Saccharomyces cerevisiae S288C: one gene and its partners. Changing the gene in region 2 together with the main gene of any one other region gives a genetic interaction. Each region holds a gene or a part of one and is shown on either strand. Other genes may lie near its edges. The genes, in order: ETP1, NHA1 and VCX1.

Evidence for each region.
Region 1: of NHA1 (region 2) and ETP1, a mutation in one rescues a mutant of the other (synthetic rescue), as found in Saccharomyces cerevisiae (one study listed by BioGRID).
Region 3: of NHA1 (region 2) and VCX1, extra expression of one rescues a mutant of the other (dosage rescue), as found in Saccharomyces cerevisiae (one study listed by BioGRID).

What each region holds. Positions count from the first base shown.
Region 1 is NC_001140.6:81,119-86,665, forward strand, and holds ETP1 (Etp1p), read right to left. Parts: upstream 2,604-5,547; coding exon 846-2,603; downstream 1-845. Other genes in the region: ribose phosphate diphosphokinase subunit PRS3, read right to left, coding at 1-498; YAP3 (Yap3p), read right to left, coding at 2,950-3,942; YHL009W-A (gag protein), read left to right, coding at 4,791-5,547.
Region 2 is NC_001144.5:416,143-421,689, forward strand, and holds NHA1 (Nha1p), read left to right. Parts: upstream 1-2,294; coding exon 2,295-5,252; downstream 5,253-5,547. Other genes in the region: TIS11 (Tis11p), read right to left, coding at 1-516; RKM5 (S-adenosylmethionine-dependent methyltransferase), read left to right, coding at 864-1,967; SLS1 (Sls1p), read right to left, coding at 5,400-5,547. UniProt on the Saccharomyces cerevisiae protein: Sodium export from cell, takes up external protons in exchange for internal sodium ions. Also capable of exporting potassium ions.
Region 3 is NC_001136.10:229,697-235,243, forward strand, and holds VCX1 (Vcx1p), read left to right. Parts: upstream 1-2,955; coding exon 2,956-4,191; downstream 4,192-5,547. Other genes in the region: ribosomal protein P1 RPP1B, read left to right, coding at 210-323, 625-831; YDL129W (uncharacterized protein), read left to right, coding at 1,328-2,203; cyclin PCL2, read left to right, coding at 5,231-5,547.

The DNA of each region.
Region 1 (5,547 bases), on a different chromosome or scaffold from region 2:
ATCCATATAGTTGACATTTTCCTTGATATACCTAACTACGCTTGGTTCTGCATATAAATTATCTACTGGGACGTCGAAGAACCCTTGAATTTGGGAAGCATGCAAATCCATAGTAATAACATGATCACACCCGGCTGTTGTTAACATATCGGCCATCAATTTAGCGGTAATAGGAGCACGAGACTTATCCTTTCTATCTTGTCTTGCATATGGGAAATTTGGAATAATAGCAGTGATTCTTCTTGCAGACGCAGTCTTCGAAGCATTGATCATGATCAGTAGTTCTAGAACACGATCGTTCACGACACCAGAGCCAATTTGCGTGATGATAAAGATATCTTGGTCCCTAACAGATTCTCCAATAGAAAAGGAAACCTCACCGGTTGGATCTCTCTTTAGTTTGCTGCTTGTTAACTGTAGACCTAGCCTTTTGGCAACAAGTTCAGCTAAACCTCGGTGGACATCTGGTGCTAATAATTTGATGGAATTTGTTGGCATTTTGTAATCCTAAGTGAATATATGAGGCTCAGTTTGAATGGGTAGGTTCGTTTATCCTGCGCTGGCAAAGTACGTAGAAAAAAGAGTATGAATCTTTCTTAGATATATTCAAGAAAAAGTAAGTAAATAAGAGGGTACGTGATTATAAACAGATACGAGTTTAGCGAATAATACCGTTCGCAATCATAACTTTATAAAACTCATCCTATTACTTACTATTCGACTGGAAAATTTTCGCAGGCAAAAAAAAAAAAAAAAAAAAAAGAAAAGAAAAATCGATGAGCCTGCCGTACACAGAGATATAATAAATTTAGAATGCAAGAATGGTATGGCGGTGATGAAGATAATCATTTCCCTGCTTTTTTATTTTTGTTGCGCTTCTTCTTGCTTTTGGATGCCTGTGCTGCCCCATGTGGTTGCTGTATTAGGATGGTACCTTCTTTTACACTCTCATCAGCGTCTTTGAATTTTTCTTGAGAATCTAGATAAAACATTAGGTCCTTGACTTGCTCTTCCAAATCTTGTTTAGACTCTTCTAACGCTTTGTTTTCTCGCTCTAACTGCTCTTGTTTTTTTGATAAGTGATCTAGGTTCGCTTGTAGTCCTTCGATTACTAACATATCTTCCTCAAGCTTAGATTTCTGGGCCATTTCCCTTTTCTGCCACTCCTTTTGAGTGACCTGAAATTGGAGTTTCAAATCTTCCATAGACTTCTTCAAACTTTCAACATTCGAAGAATCAGACGCAGTTTGATCTTTTTCTTGTAATTTCAGTTCATAATATTCTCTTTGAGACTCTAATTGAGATATTAGGACTTGCACATATTCTAGATGATACTCCCTATGCCTTAAAAAATTTGCCGCCAGCTCGCCATCTTTTTTATTAGAGTTCGATTTCTCACCGTTTTTGCTCCTGTTCCCGTAAACAACATTTTGTAGTTCATCGGAGTTGCCTATATCATTGTTGTCATCGTCACCGGAGCCGCCGACCTCTACTAACTTCCCATCAACTTCATTTTGAACTAGGCGATGGACATAATTATCACCCGCATAATCCCACACTCTTTGTGTCCGTATATCCATCGCAAAACAATGTAAAGTTTCTTCATAATGCTTGATTGCGTGTTTGGAATTGTAACGACCGCATCCAACATTACCGCAGATCAAGCAAATCCATAGATTATCAGTGGAACCACATGTTGCACAATGTGCGGAATCACCTGCCTGTTTCAATAATGATTCCCTGCTTAGCCGCAGACTTGAATGTCGACACACTGGACACCTTGAATTCTTCCACTTATTTAAGCATTGGCAATGAAAAGTGTGCTGGCACGGGATCGTTACTAATCCAGTAGTTTCTGAATCCATTCTTTCAAGGCAAACGGGACATGTGGGGAGTTCGACTTTTACCAGTTCCTTTTTTTTCTTAACAGTGAATGGATCAGTAAGCAGATAGGGGAAGTCCTCGTTAGCGGCTGGTCTTTGGAAGAGCTTTTTTTGAAAAACTATTTCTTTTACAGAGATCACATGGCATGTTTCGGGATCCATCCTGCTGAAACTTTTGCCATTGAACTCTTCCTTGAAATTTTTCGCATCAAGTGCATTCCTGAATTTAATTAAGACCGTGAAATTAAAACCCATTCCCTTCTGCTGATTTCGTAATATACGAAAGTTTGAAACTTGCTTATTAACAATATCATCACCAATATAAAAATGCAATAAATCGTGAACGGTAAAATAAGTTGGAACAAACAGGATACATATCATAGTATCATCTCCCGGGATAGTCAAAATCTCCTTCTCATTAAGAGTATTATTGGCATTGCTTAGCTTGAATAGCCTTATTATCCCATGGCCTAAGTATTGTGAAGTAATCAAATCACTTTCCTCTTCTTTTGATGTTTGATTTTTGAAATCAGTTATCATGTCTATTTCCAAGTCACAGACTCTCCAATCCTGCCAGTCTTGATTATTACTTTTAATACTTTCTTCCCCGATACTTTTTGCCTTCAACTTTTTCGGAATACTCTTGAAAATTTGATAAGCGGATTCAACCTGATTTTGGTTTCCAAATTCTAAAGTAATGATATACTCAAATTGATCCATAGATGTGAGGGCCAACCAGAAAGTAATACATTCAATGCTACTATTCCGTTATTGCCTCTATGTGTTTTCCTTTGAACTTTTACTTAATCCGCGGGTGAAATTTCATTTTTATATTTTCCATTTTATAACAGGCCGTCCCCTAAAAACACCGCGTAAGAACATAGTTTATACACTTATATAAGTAAAAGGTGTAGTAGGTTGGAATGGTAAAGGGCGTATTGTGTGTCAATTATGCGATGAAAATGTATACTTCGAAGTCAATAAAAAAAGAACCTGGTTTGCCTCATGAAGATGTTGCCTGCCCTTTCTTATTTAGTGTTTGTAAGTTATTTTTGTCAAAGTCTATTCATTCATTCAAAGTAGCTTCCTCCACTAGAAAATCGATTAAACTTCTTGGATACGCAGGTCCATGGGTATGACAACATTCTTGTCCTTGCAATTTGCTCATAACGTATGTCACATCAAAGTCCCTCTCTTCTGAAAGTTTGTAAAGATACTCCCAGGTGGCGGGGACTGTTAGTACATGTCTTCCTGCTTCGTCAGTATACTGGGTATTTCGCTTCATAATTTCATTATCCTTTAGCGAATACTTGCCTTTGTGATTCAGTTTGCTTTCCAGGACCATAGAGGTAAAAAATTCATCTTTCGTTGGGAAAGAATATTTGTAGTTGGTATCATCTTCTATGTCCTTTGAAAAATTTTCATTACCACTCCGCAGTAGCAGTCTGTTCTCTGCGTTGATTTCAGTATTTGCCTTTCTTAGTTCCTCAATTTCTTTCAATAAACTTTGGCGGTTCCTTTCACTTTCTAACAATTTATCTTGTAATTCTTTCATTCTGGCTTCTTTTCTCTCTCTGAAGGCTTTTTGGGCGGCTCTGTTTTGAGCCTTTTTCTTTGCCTTAGAGTCATCTGGAACATTCTCATTATGAGCAACTGAGGGACTCCTCGAACTTGGAGATATACCATTATTTTTAGAAAAATAATTTGTATTACTATAACTATCATTATCATTATTATTGTTATCTGCCATAACATAGGTAGAGTAGTCGCCTGAAATAGGGGTTAGTTGAATTGCTTGAAGATCACTACCCTTAGGGAAAGATATGTTGTTCTGTAATAGCAAATCATTATTTGATCTGTCAAGGTTCAAAGCAGGACACTGGTCTTCCAAAATTGGGAAGGGTGCTGTTTGCTCGCTCAATAGGTCTGGTTGTTGTTTTATACATTTGCTATCTTCTTGGAATAGACTATTTCTGATACAACAATCCTCCTCTTGGCATTGAGGGTTAATAAATTTCATGAATCCGCTGGTATTATCATCCATATTAGAAGGCGTCATAACAATTGCTTCAGCCTTATTCTTCGTTAGTTTATACTGGAAGTAAAGCAAACACCTACTGCCCCTTTTATCGAAATGATAAACAAATAAGAAAGCTCAGAGGGCCTCCGGTAATATTCAAATCGATCTGTTTTATAATGCTTATTGAATAATAATGCCGTTGCTGTACTCTTAACATAAAGCTACGAAAATCCACTATACATTTTTCTAAAGAAAAAAAAAAAATTCAAAAAAAATTGATTTCGCCCAGGATCGAACTGGGGACGTTCTGCGTGTTAAGCAGATGCCATAACCGACTAGACCACGAAACCAAATTCTTATTGATTATGTTGTATTACGGGCTCGAGTAATACCGGAGTGTCTTGACAATCCTAATACAAACAGTCTTAGGGAAGTAACCAGTTGTCAAAACAGTTTATCAGATTAATTCACGGAATGTTACTTATCTTATATATATTATATAAAATATGAATCATACTGTTGGAACGAGAGTAATTGATAGTGACATGAGTTGCTATGGTAACAATCTAATGCTTACATCGTATATTAATGTACAACTCGTATACGTTTAAGTGTGATTGCGCCTATTGCAGAAGGAATGTTAAACGAGAAGCTCAGACAATACTGAAGCGGTGTTAAAGACCTATTAGTTGAACATGTTATGGTAGGTACATATATGAGGAATATGAGTCGTCACATCAATGTATAGTAACTACCGGAATCACTATTATATTGGTCATAATTAATATGACCAATCGGCGTGTGTTTTATATACCTCTCTTATTTAGTATAAGAAGATCAGTACTCACTTCTTCATTAATACTAATTTTTTACCTCTAATTATCAACATGGCGACCCCAGTGAGGGATGAAACAAGAAATGTTATTGACGACAACATTTCTGCGCGGATTCAATCGAAAGTCAAAACAAATGATACTGTCAGACAGACGCCATCATCATTAAGAAAAGTTTCTATTAAAGATGAACAGGTGAAACAATATCAAAGAAACTTAAATAGGTTTAAAACCATACTAAATGGTTTAAAGGCAGAAGAGGAAAAACTTTCTGAGACTGATGATATTCAGATGCTAGCTGAAAAATTATTAAAACTCGGAGAAACCATTGACAAGGTTGAGAATAGGATTGTGGATCTAGTTGAAAAGATACAATTATTGGAAACAAACGAGAACAATAATATATTACATGAACATATAGATGCTACAGGGACTTACTATTTATTCGATACGTTAACTTCAACCAACAAAAGATTCTACCCTAAGGATTGTGTTTTTGATTATAGGACTAATAATGTCGAGAACATTCCTATTCTCTTAAACAATTTTAAAAAATTCATCAAGAAATATCAATTTGATGATGTCTTTGAAAATGATATCATAGAAATCGATCCTCGTGAAAATGAAATCTTGTGCAAGATAATCAAAGAAGGACTCGGTGAAAGTTTAGATATCATGAACACAAATACAACTGACATTTTTAGGATAATCGATGGTTTAAAAAACAAATATAGAAGTTTACATGGTAGAGATGTCAGAATTAGAGCCTGGGAAAAGGTTTTGGTTGATACAACATGTAGAAATTCCGCAT
Region 2 (5,547 bases):
TGTCTTGTATAATTGTTTGGGAGTTTCCTGCACTTGGCTTTTCACCTTAGGTTGAGCTGAGGATTCCTTCTCTGATGAAAAAGAAGCATCATTTTTGGGCTTTTGTTGAGACAACTGTTGCAAATTCTGTGAAGTTAATGGTAATTGTGAAGATTTTGGGACATAGTCCGGATTTATTTGTACCTCTAGTTTCTTTTTAAAAGTAGTAGGTGCCGTGCTATTCAGGTGAGCGGATGGGAGAAAAGGGTTCATTAACTGTGGATCATACAGTAGCCCCGGTTGAATAGCGTTTGTATTTTTTGGTGGAGAGAATGAAACTGCCGAAGATATTTCACTGCTTGTTTCCTGTATGTTATCCTCGTTTAAAATCGTCTTGTTGTAATACTCCTCCAGTTCCCTAATATTGATCTGGTACTGGTAGTCATTTAATGGATTTTGCTCTTGATCTGTGGAAAACAACGACGTTAAGTCAGTCTTCTGAGATTCTGGTCTAGTATATGATAATTGAGCCCACATATTGCGTTATTTTTTACGTATTGAGTTTGCAGCACTGTTTCGCTTTCTCTCAAGATGCACAAATACGACCTACCAAGAGCCTCCAAGTCCCACCAACGATTATGTCTTCTCTCAAATATATATACAAGTTACATGTAGAGAAATCGAGACGAGATTGCTGGCACAATGCACCCAACTGCATGTGCCATTGTGCATCTACACCTCCAAATTAGGGTGTCGATTGGCGTCGTCTTCTTTAATGTGGGTGCATTTTGCGGCGGCGCGACAAATATAGAGAACTGACCAAGGCAGTGCTGTCAAGAAGAGAGAATGGTTACGGCAGCGAAGACGCAAATGGGCTAGGCAGAATGGCATTCAAGTTATGGCTACTGGATGAGGAAACAATATACGAGCACGTGTTCGAACGGTACACACAATTGGAGGGCCAGTCCGGGAAACTGGCGCAGGATTTGGGTATTCAGGATAGAAGGGGCGGTGTGCTAGAGATAACGTTTGAACCCTCTGGGCTGGAAGGCGGCAGAAAAAAAAAGCGAGTGAGAAGAAGAAATAAGGCTAGTAGTGTTGAAGAAGATCAGAATGTTGCTGTGGATAGCTATCATGTTAGCGTGGGGCAGTCCATATCAAGCTTGCGCTCGTCCAGAGACAACGGAAACTCCACCACAGGATACGTTTTGTGGTCTACCACACCTTTCTTCATCAACTGGCTGCTGTATAGTACTAGCGCTGCACCTTTCCGTCTTGGGAGTCAGGTGGAAGTAACCTGCGGGTCTTCTTGCGAGGGGCACAAGCTTGAGTTGCCCAGGCTGGTCGACCTCACGGGCGCTGATCGCGGCAAGAGAGGTATCTTGGAACTTGGAGCAGGAATATCAGGTATTTTGCCCGTGATTCTTGGTAACTTCGTCGACACCTACGTGTCGACAGATCAGAAGGGCATTCTTAATAAATTAAAAGATAACATCATGGAAAACTTATCACAGTTGACCAGAAAGCGGTGCATTTCCCGATCACTAAGATTGGAACTTCCCACCGTCGAACCAGTTGGCGACGCTGATATCACCGCAGCGTCACTTCCATCTAAGTCTACGTTGCATTTGGAAGTAGCCGCTCTAGACTGGGAGAAGATAAACTTGCAAGACAAAAAGACCCACTCTCTGCATCCTGAGTTGTCACTCATAGGTGAAACATGTTCTTCCGTGTACGTTATAGCTATGGATGTCATATACAACGAGTACCTGATAGATCCGTTTCTGAAGACGCTCAAGCAACTCAAACACTGGTTACAAACTACCTACAATTTGCAATTCCATGTCCTCGTGGGGATACACTTGCGGTCACAAGAGGTGACAACACTGTTCTTGGAGAAAGCCATCATAGAATATGACTTCACGGTTTATGATATCGTTGACCAGGTCATACAAGAGTCCCGTTTTAACTTTTATCTTATCACCTAGTCCCATATATAATAATAGAAACAATATAATGCTGATAATCTTATTTTTCTTTGCGATGCGGCAGTGCCTCTTCCCCTCCGTACGGATTGGGAAGATTTTCATTTTTGATTAGCAAGGGCACTAAGCCAACTCTGTGTGATATAGCTAATAATCTAAAAGCTGCTGGATCCGTTATCGTCAAGATAAAGCGGACTTAGCGATTTACATAGGATCACACTTTCTACACACATTTGATTTTTAAGCTTCATTTTCCACTGCACTTATTTTTCCCAAGCATCGTGTTTTTTTGTACATTATAAAAAAAAATCCTGAACTTAGCTAGATATTATGGCTATCTGGGAGCAACTAGAAGTCTCAAAGGCGCACGTTGCTTATGCATGTGTTGGTGTCTTTTCATCTATCTTCTCTTTAGTGTCACTTTATGTCAAGGAGAAGCTTTATATTGGTGAGTCCACCGTAGCAGGTATATTTGGGCTAATTGTGGGTCCTGTTTGCTTGAACTGGTTTAATCCTCTGAAATGGGGGAATTCAGACAGTATAACATTAGAGATAACGAGAATAGTATTATGTTTGCAAATTTTTGCCGTTGCCGTGGAACTGCCACGGAAATATATGTTGAAGCATTGGGTATCTGTGACGATGCTATTATTGCCAGTGATGACAGCTGGATGGCTTATTATTGGTCTCTTCGTTTGGATTCTTATACCTGGCTTGAATTTTTCTGCTAGTTTGTTGATATCTGCGTGCATTACCGCAACAGATCCTATTCTGGCGCAGTCGGTCGTCTCCGGTAAGTTTGCCCAAAGAGTACCTGGTCACTTAAGAAATCTACTGTCTGCAGAGTCAGGCTGCAATGATGGTATGGCCTTTCCTTTTTTATTTCTTTCTATGAATTTAATCCTACATCCCGGTAATGGAAGAGAAATTGTCAAAGATTGGATTTGCGTTACTATCCTGTATGAGTGTTTGTTTGGATGCTTGCTAGGTTGCTTCATTGGTTATGTAGGCAGAATCACCATCAGGTTTGCCGAAAAGAAAAACATTATCGATCGTGAGTCGTTCTTAGCATTTTACGTTGTCCTGGCGTTCATGTGTGCTGGGTTCGGCTCCATTTTGGGTGTGGATGACCTATTGGTATCATTTGCAGCCGGTGCGACTTTCGCTTGGGATGGGTGGTTTTCTCAAAAGACACAAGAAAGTAATGTTTCTACCGTGATTGATTTGCTACTAAACTATGCGTATTTTATCTATTTTGGTGCCATTATACCTTGGAGTCAATTCAACAACGGTGAAATTGGCACAAACGTCTGGCGTTTAATTATACTTTCGATAGTGGTCATCTTTTTACGTAGGATCCCTGCAGTCATGATATTAAGACCTCTTATACCTGATATAAAATCGTGGCGTGAGGCACTTTTTGTGGGCCATTTTGGTCCTATTGGTGTAGGTGCAATTTTTGCCGCTATACTAGCTCGTGGAGAATTAGAGTCTACCTTTAGTGACGAACCCACTCCTTTAAATGTTGTACCATCAAAAGAGGAAAGTAAACATTGGCAGCTGATAGCCTGTATATGGCCAATAACTTGTTTTTTCATTGTTACTTCTATCATAGTTCATGGTTCTTCAGTTGCAATCATAACTCTAGGTCGTCATTTGAACACGATAACGTTAACCAAAACATTCACTACACACACCACCAATGGTGATAATGGGAAAAGTTCATGGATGCAAAGGTTGCCATCGTTGGATAAAGCTGGACGATCATTTTCATTGCATCGTATGGATACTCAAATGACTTTATCAGGGGATGAAGGTGAAGCAGAAGAAGGAGGAGGTCGTAAGGGACTAGCAGGAGGTGAAGATGAAGAAGGATTAAACAATGATCAAATTGGTAGCGTCGCAACGAGCGGAATTCCTGCAAGACCCGCTGGTGGTATGCCAAGGAGGAGGAAATTGTCAAGAAAAGAGAAAAGATTGAACAGAAGACAGAAACTGAGAAACAAAGGTAGAGAAATATTTTCATCAAGATCTAAAAATGAAATGTATGATGACGATGAGTTGAATGATCTGGGACGAGAAAGGTTGCAAAAAGAAAAGGAAGCACGCGCCGCCACATTTGCATTGAGCACAGCCGTCAATACACAACGTAATGAGGAGATTGGAATGGGTGGAGATGAAGAAGAAGATGAGTACACACCGGAAAAGGAATATAGCGATAATTACAATAACACACCAAGTTTTGAGTCGTCTGAAAGATCTTCATCTCTCCGAGGAAGAACTTACGTACCAAGAAACCGTTACGATGGAGAAGAGACAGAAAGCGAGATTGAAAGCGAAGACGAGATGGAAAATGAAAGTGAAAGATCAATGGCCAGTAGTGAAGAGAGGAGAATTCGAAAAATGAAAGAGGAAGAAATGAAACCTGGTACTGCTTATTTAGATGGTAATAGAATGATTATTGAAAATAAGCAAGGTGAAATCTTGAATCAAGTAGATATCGAGGATCGCAATGAGGCGAGAGATGACGAAGTTAGTGTTGATAGTACAGCCCATTCAAGTTTAACTACCACAATGACCAATCTATCCAGTAGTAGTGGGGGAAGGTTAAAGAGAATTTTAACTCCCACATCTTTAGGAAAGATACATTCATTGGTTGATAAAGGAAAGGATAAAAATAAAAACAGCAAGTATCATGCATTTAAAATAGACAATCTGTTAATCATCGAGAATGAGGACGGTGATGTTATAAAAAGATACAAGATAAATCCTCATAAATCTGATGATGATAAAAGTAAAAACCGCCCAAGAAACGATAGTGTTGTATCAAGAGCTTTAACAGCAGTAGGACTAAAGAGCAAAGCGAACAGCGGCGTACCGCCTCCAGTAGATGAAGAAAAAGCCATCGAAGGACCCTCCAGGAAGGGCCCAGGGATGTTAAAGAAAAGGACATTAACACCTGCGCCACCGAGAGGAGTTCAAGATTCCTTAGATCTGGAAGATGAACCTTCATCTGAGGAGGATTTAGGTGATAGTTATAACATGGACGATAGTGAAGATTACGACGATAATGCATATGAATCAGAAACTGAATTCGAAAGACAAAGAAGGTTAAATGCGTTAGGTGAGATGACGGCACCAGCGGATCAAGATGACGAAGAGTTGCCGCCCTTACCTGTGGAGGCACAAACAGGAAACGATGGTCCAGGTACAGCGGAAGGAAAAAAAAAGCAAAAGAGTGCTGCTGTTAAGTCGGCGCTATCAAAAACGCTTGGTCTCAATAAGTAATTTATTAATACACAAAGATATATTATTTTAGTATATATATAAACGAAATGCCTTTTTTATTTACATGTGTCGGAAATAGAGTAGATGCGGTAAAGAGGGGGAGGGGGGGGGGGTATGCGGTTTTGTCATTACTCTTTTCCGTTAAACTTAAAAGCTTAAAACATCATTGATAAAGGTTTTTAGTGAGGTTTCACTGGGGTTCACATTGATGAAATCTAATTGTCTGTAGGAGCCATTGTTCAAAAATCCGCGGCTGATATCTGAATATTGAATGATGTATTTATCATCTTGGGCA
Region 3 (5,547 bases), on a different chromosome or scaffold from region 2:
AAAATTTTCATTTCTGCGTGTCGCGCGAAGGAGAAATCTTAGAATTGAAACTTCCGGCTAACGGTTGCTAAAACTAGTTTCCAATGTAATACCAAATAAGCATTTGATGTTGAATCTGTAAGCCCCTTCGTGATATTTCAAGGTTAAATTACGAATTGCAGTTTCAGTTAATCTTGGACTAACAAAGAAATCAAACAACTAAGAAGAAAATGTCTGACTCTATTATTTCCTTTGCTGCTTTCATCCTAGCTGATGCTGGTTTGGAAATCACCTCTGACAACTTATTGACTATCACCAAGGCCGCTGGTGCTAATGTCGACAACGTATGTACAAAAATGCAACCTAAAACGACTTTGTGTGACTACGAAGAGAAAGATTAGACAACAATCGTCCCGAGAAATGCGCAATTTTGAATAATGGGGGACAGAAAAATTCCATGTAACGTTTCCCTCTAACATGATGAGATACTAGGGGGCAATACATGTAGAAATATTTCTCCATTAACGTATTTAACGGAAAGCACAAGTCAGGATCGAATTACTTCTTCAAGGATCTCATTTTACTAACAAACTCAACGAATAACGACTCTTCCTATGGAGCTTGTTATATGTATCATTGAATTAGGTCTGGGCTGATGTTTACGCTAAGGCTTTGGAAGGTAAGGACTTGAAGGAAATCCTATCTGGTTTCCATAACGCTGGCCCTGTTGCTGGTGCTGGTGCTGCTTCTGGCGCTGCCGCTGCTGGTGGTGACGCTGCTGCTGAAGAAGAAAAAGAAGAAGAAGCTGCTGAAGAATCTGACGACGACATGGGTTTCGGTTTATTCGACTAAACATACAAGGAAAGTCATTTTTTCTGCAACGTTTTTTTACCCTTTATGTATATATATTTACATATAAAATAAACCTCTAATCAATCAGTATTTAAAAATCGGAAGTAATGTCCATACGAAAGGGCTACGAGAATTTAACCATCTCGTTCTTTGCTAGAAATGGCACTGCGGGATAGCCCCTGGTTGCGGGATATCAGACCTGTCGTCACCATAGCAACCAAAAATTACATAAACCCATGGTTGCTCGCCCTTTGATGGCGACGCCGACCGAAGCTTCTCCCGCGCACATTTTTAAAATTTTTACTCATCGGGAATGAAAGGTTCTTTGACACATGTAAAGCTCCCTAAGTTGGACATACGTCGGTCCTTACAGGCTTAGCAATACACCTATAAGGCACTAGAAACGTATAAAATTTGAGCACTTTAGTTTCTCATCCCTTTTGATACGAAACGCGGGCAAGGCTACGGCATACAGGAATTTAACATTTTGTTGGCTATGGAGCTAAGAAGTAGACGGAGCGCAGAGGCCTATCTTGTCACGCCTGAGGAACCTGCCAAGAATAAGAGTGAACGGAGCATAGAATCCAATGAGAGGGTCGGCACGAGGGAAGCAAAGAGCGAGAACACAAGTGTATTTAGTCCCGCTTACTCTGATACCGCTACTACAGATTCATCGAAGAAAGTTGATGACAATGAATACTACAATTTTACTAGTCACTTCATGCCATCTTTGAAAAACACCAGAGAACTAGAAAACACAATTCTCAATCTCATACAGAGGATAAAGGAAGGGGATGATGAAACGTTAGTTAGTGAGAAAGATCTCATATTAAGTGTGCTTAACAGGTCTTTAGCATCCACATCTCACTGGAAGTTACAGGCCCAGCTATCGGAGTTAAGGGCCACCTCAGAGGGAAGGTATGCAGTTGAGACAAACTTGTTGAAAAAAGAGGTAGAATTTTTAAAAAACAAGACCCCAAAAACCAACGAAAGTGCAAGTTCCGCAGAGTTGAGACCACTTCTTGAACGACCTTTAAAGCGTAAACTGTCATTGCCAGGACTAGCGCAAAGACCATTATCCACTGGCGCTAGGCTAGAAGGAGGATATGGAGGTGTATCGCCGAACTCATGGAAAACCAAAGTTCCAAAACTTCCTCTTCCTGCTTCCCGGCCGTCTTTGAATCTTTCTCCCCAAAAAGTCCCAACGGGTACTGATAAAGTTGAGGAAGATACCAAAATTGACACATTGGAATTAGTAGAGAACAATAAACCGCATCCAAGGATGAGAAGAAGGAGTGACAATCCAGCAACAAACGAATATGTGAGAGTTTTTCATTTGGAGAAAAAAGAACCTAAATCACGAAAAAAATAGTATGCTAGAAAAAAATATTATTGAACGTCAATAATTTTTCTTTCTCATGGGACCAAACACATCATTTATTCTCTAATAATATTCTATTCTCTTTATTTCTGGTTTACTCTTTTAAAATTCTCCAAAGAGAAATATCTCCTTCAATTCTTCAGTTACGAATTTATGTTTACTTTTAACCTCTATCATACACCTTTAATCTAATGCCTCCAACTGTCTGTAATTTTAGTACAACTTAAAAGGGAAATTTTCCGAAAGTGTGAAAAAATTGGATTTTTTTTTCTCCTATTGAACTCAATGGAAGCTATCAGTTTGGAGAGGGACAATTATTTTCCTTCTTGTTTTTTGCCAAGAGAACAATATTGTAGTATTTAAGTTCTAATTTAATGTTATATATACTTATCTAATAGTTTTTTTTTTTCAATTAGATTGTTTTCCTTACGACGTTAATCCCTTGTCATCCTCACTTACGAACTTCGATGAATATGACATACGTAATCGGGAATGTTTTGTAAACTAATTGACGTAGTTCCTTTTTCGTAAACTGGACTGGACGGCTTGATCAAAATTCCCGAAAAATAAAAATTTCCCTCACGAGAATATGGAAATTACTATCGCCCAGCATTATTTTATCTCCTCAGAGAGTAAAAGAAGTTTCCTCTTTCCTAAACTTAAAAAGCAGTCCTAAATATATAGTTGACTTCGACGCATATCATTCATCGGCTGCTGATAGCAAATAAAACAACATAGATACAATGGATGCAACTACCCCACTATTAACTGTTGCGAACAGTCATCCCGCCCGCAATCCAAAGCACACTGCATGGAGAGCAGCTGTGTATGATTTACAGTATATTTTGAAAGCGTCACCCCTGAATTTCCTATTGGTATTTGTTCCTTTAGGTCTGATTTGGGGACACTTCCAACTATCTCATACACTGACATTTCTTTTTAATTTCTTGGCAATTATACCGTTGGCAGCTATCTTGGCTAATGCCACGGAAGAGTTGGCTGATAAGGCTGGTAACACCATTGGGGGACTGCTAAATGCTACTTTTGGTAACGCTGTGGAACTAATTGTTTCTATCATTGCCCTGAAAAAAGGTCAAGTGAGAATTGTGCAGGCCTCGATGCTAGGTAGTCTTCTTTCTAATTTGCTGTTAGTGCTTGGATTATGCTTCATATTCGGTGGATACAATAGAGTCCAACAGACATTCAACCAAACCGCCGCTCAAACAATGTCCTCATTACTTGCCATTGCGTGTGCATCCCTACTGATTCCCGCTGCCTTTAGAGCCACCCTACCTCATGGCAAGGAAGACCACTTCATCGATGGAAAAATATTGGAGTTATCCAGAGGCACCTCTATTGTTATTCTCATCGTTTACGTTTTGTTCTTATATTTCCAGCTAGGGAGCCATCACGCCTTGTTTGAGCAACAAGAAGAAGAGACCGATGAAGTTATGAGCACCATTTCCAGGAATCCACATCACTCTTTGAGTGTCAAGTCATCATTGGTGATACTTCTAGGTACAACTGTGATCATCTCTTTTTGTGCGGATTTTCTAGTCGGTACGATAGACAACGTTGTTGAATCTACCGGGCTATCTAAAACATTTATAGGTTTGATTGTCATTCCTATTGTGGGTAATGCCGCAGAGCATGTCACTTCAGTCTTGGTGGCCATGAAGGATAAGATGGATCTGGCGCTAGGTGTTGCCATCGGTTCCTCTTTACAAGTTGCCTTATTTGTTACACCATTCATGGTTCTTGTGGGCTGGATGATCGATGTTCCAATGACGCTAAATTTCTCCACTTTTGAAACCGCTACTCTTTTTATTGCTGTTTTCTTATCCAATTACTTAATTCTCGATGGTGAGTCAAACTGGTTGGAGGGTGTCATGTCTCTAGCTATGTATATTTTGATTGCAATGGCATTTTTCTATTATCCAGACGAAAAAACCCTTGACTCTATTGGAAATAGTTTATGAGTAAGAACAGTAGCGCAGAAATTCACCATTCTCTTTTTTTTTATATTTTATCTTCTTCGTAATTCTATCGATGGACCAATACAAAGATGATTATGACTAGCAAGTCATTATTATGATCGTTATATTATACATATTATGTTTACGCAACTAATTTTTATATCGAATTTTATCTGAAAAAAAGTTTTCAAAACCAACAAAATATTTTGTACACTCTTCGAAACTCAAATTCTGCACCATTTCCATTCTGATAAAAGGTTTAATATTTCGAAGCTTCTCAACTACAGCTCGTGTTCTTCTTGCAGCACATCAGCTGCTTTGCTGCACTGTTCAGGGTAACGTTATTCATTACAACGAGAATATTTAGGAATTTTGCTCAAATTCATGGAGCTTCCTACATCATTGCACAACAGAATTTCGTTTTGTAGTATAGTTTATTAGAAACAAATGTGAATAGATCATGAGACGCGAAGCCCTATTTTAGCGGATTTTAGCCTTACATTTCTGAGTGAGAATGCCAGCTGAAACACATTCTTGTTACATCTGTCACGGCATTCCAGCTGTAAAAAACCAGCAGATATCGCATAAAAAAATGGCCAGCTATAGAATAAAATTAGCCCAGCTATATTTTTATAGCGTCTTTTGATGACGCGAAAAGTAGACTTCGCGTAACACGAAAAATGCTGGTGCAGGTGGATTTTTTTGGCAGATACTACGGTCAATTCTCCGCTCGAAGATTTTTATAGGCCTGGCTAGTTACCTATTTAGTGCAAATTGGGAAGAGATCTATTGTTCCCGCAGACACGCTAAGTGGTAGCTGTAACTTCGGAGACGTGTGAGACCTTCCTCAAACATGTTACAGGTTGATCGATTTACACATCTAATGCAAGTTTAAGTGCTTCTTAAGTGTTTTTTTCTTTAGTCTTATAAGTTCTCCTTTCTTTCACTTTATAATTCTCCTTTATAAAAGTAAGACCCGGTGCTAAACAACCTGATCCGACAAGAGCAATTTCAATACGGCAGCAACTTTTTACTACAAAAGATGTCAAACTACGAAGCCTTGCTGAAATTCAATAGGAAGGCTGTATCTAAGGAAATGGTGCAATATCTAGCATCGACCACAGCTTCCATTATCAAAATTAAGAAGACGAATAGTATGATAGATATTGCATTGCCAGCACCACCGTTGACTAAATTCATCAACAGACTGATCAAGCATTCTAACGTTCAAACTCCGACTCTGATGGCTACCTCTGTATATTTGGCCAAATTAAGATCAATAATACCGAGTAACGTTTATGGTATAGAGACCACCAGGCATAGAATATTCTTAGGTTGCCTAATATTAGCTGCAAAAAC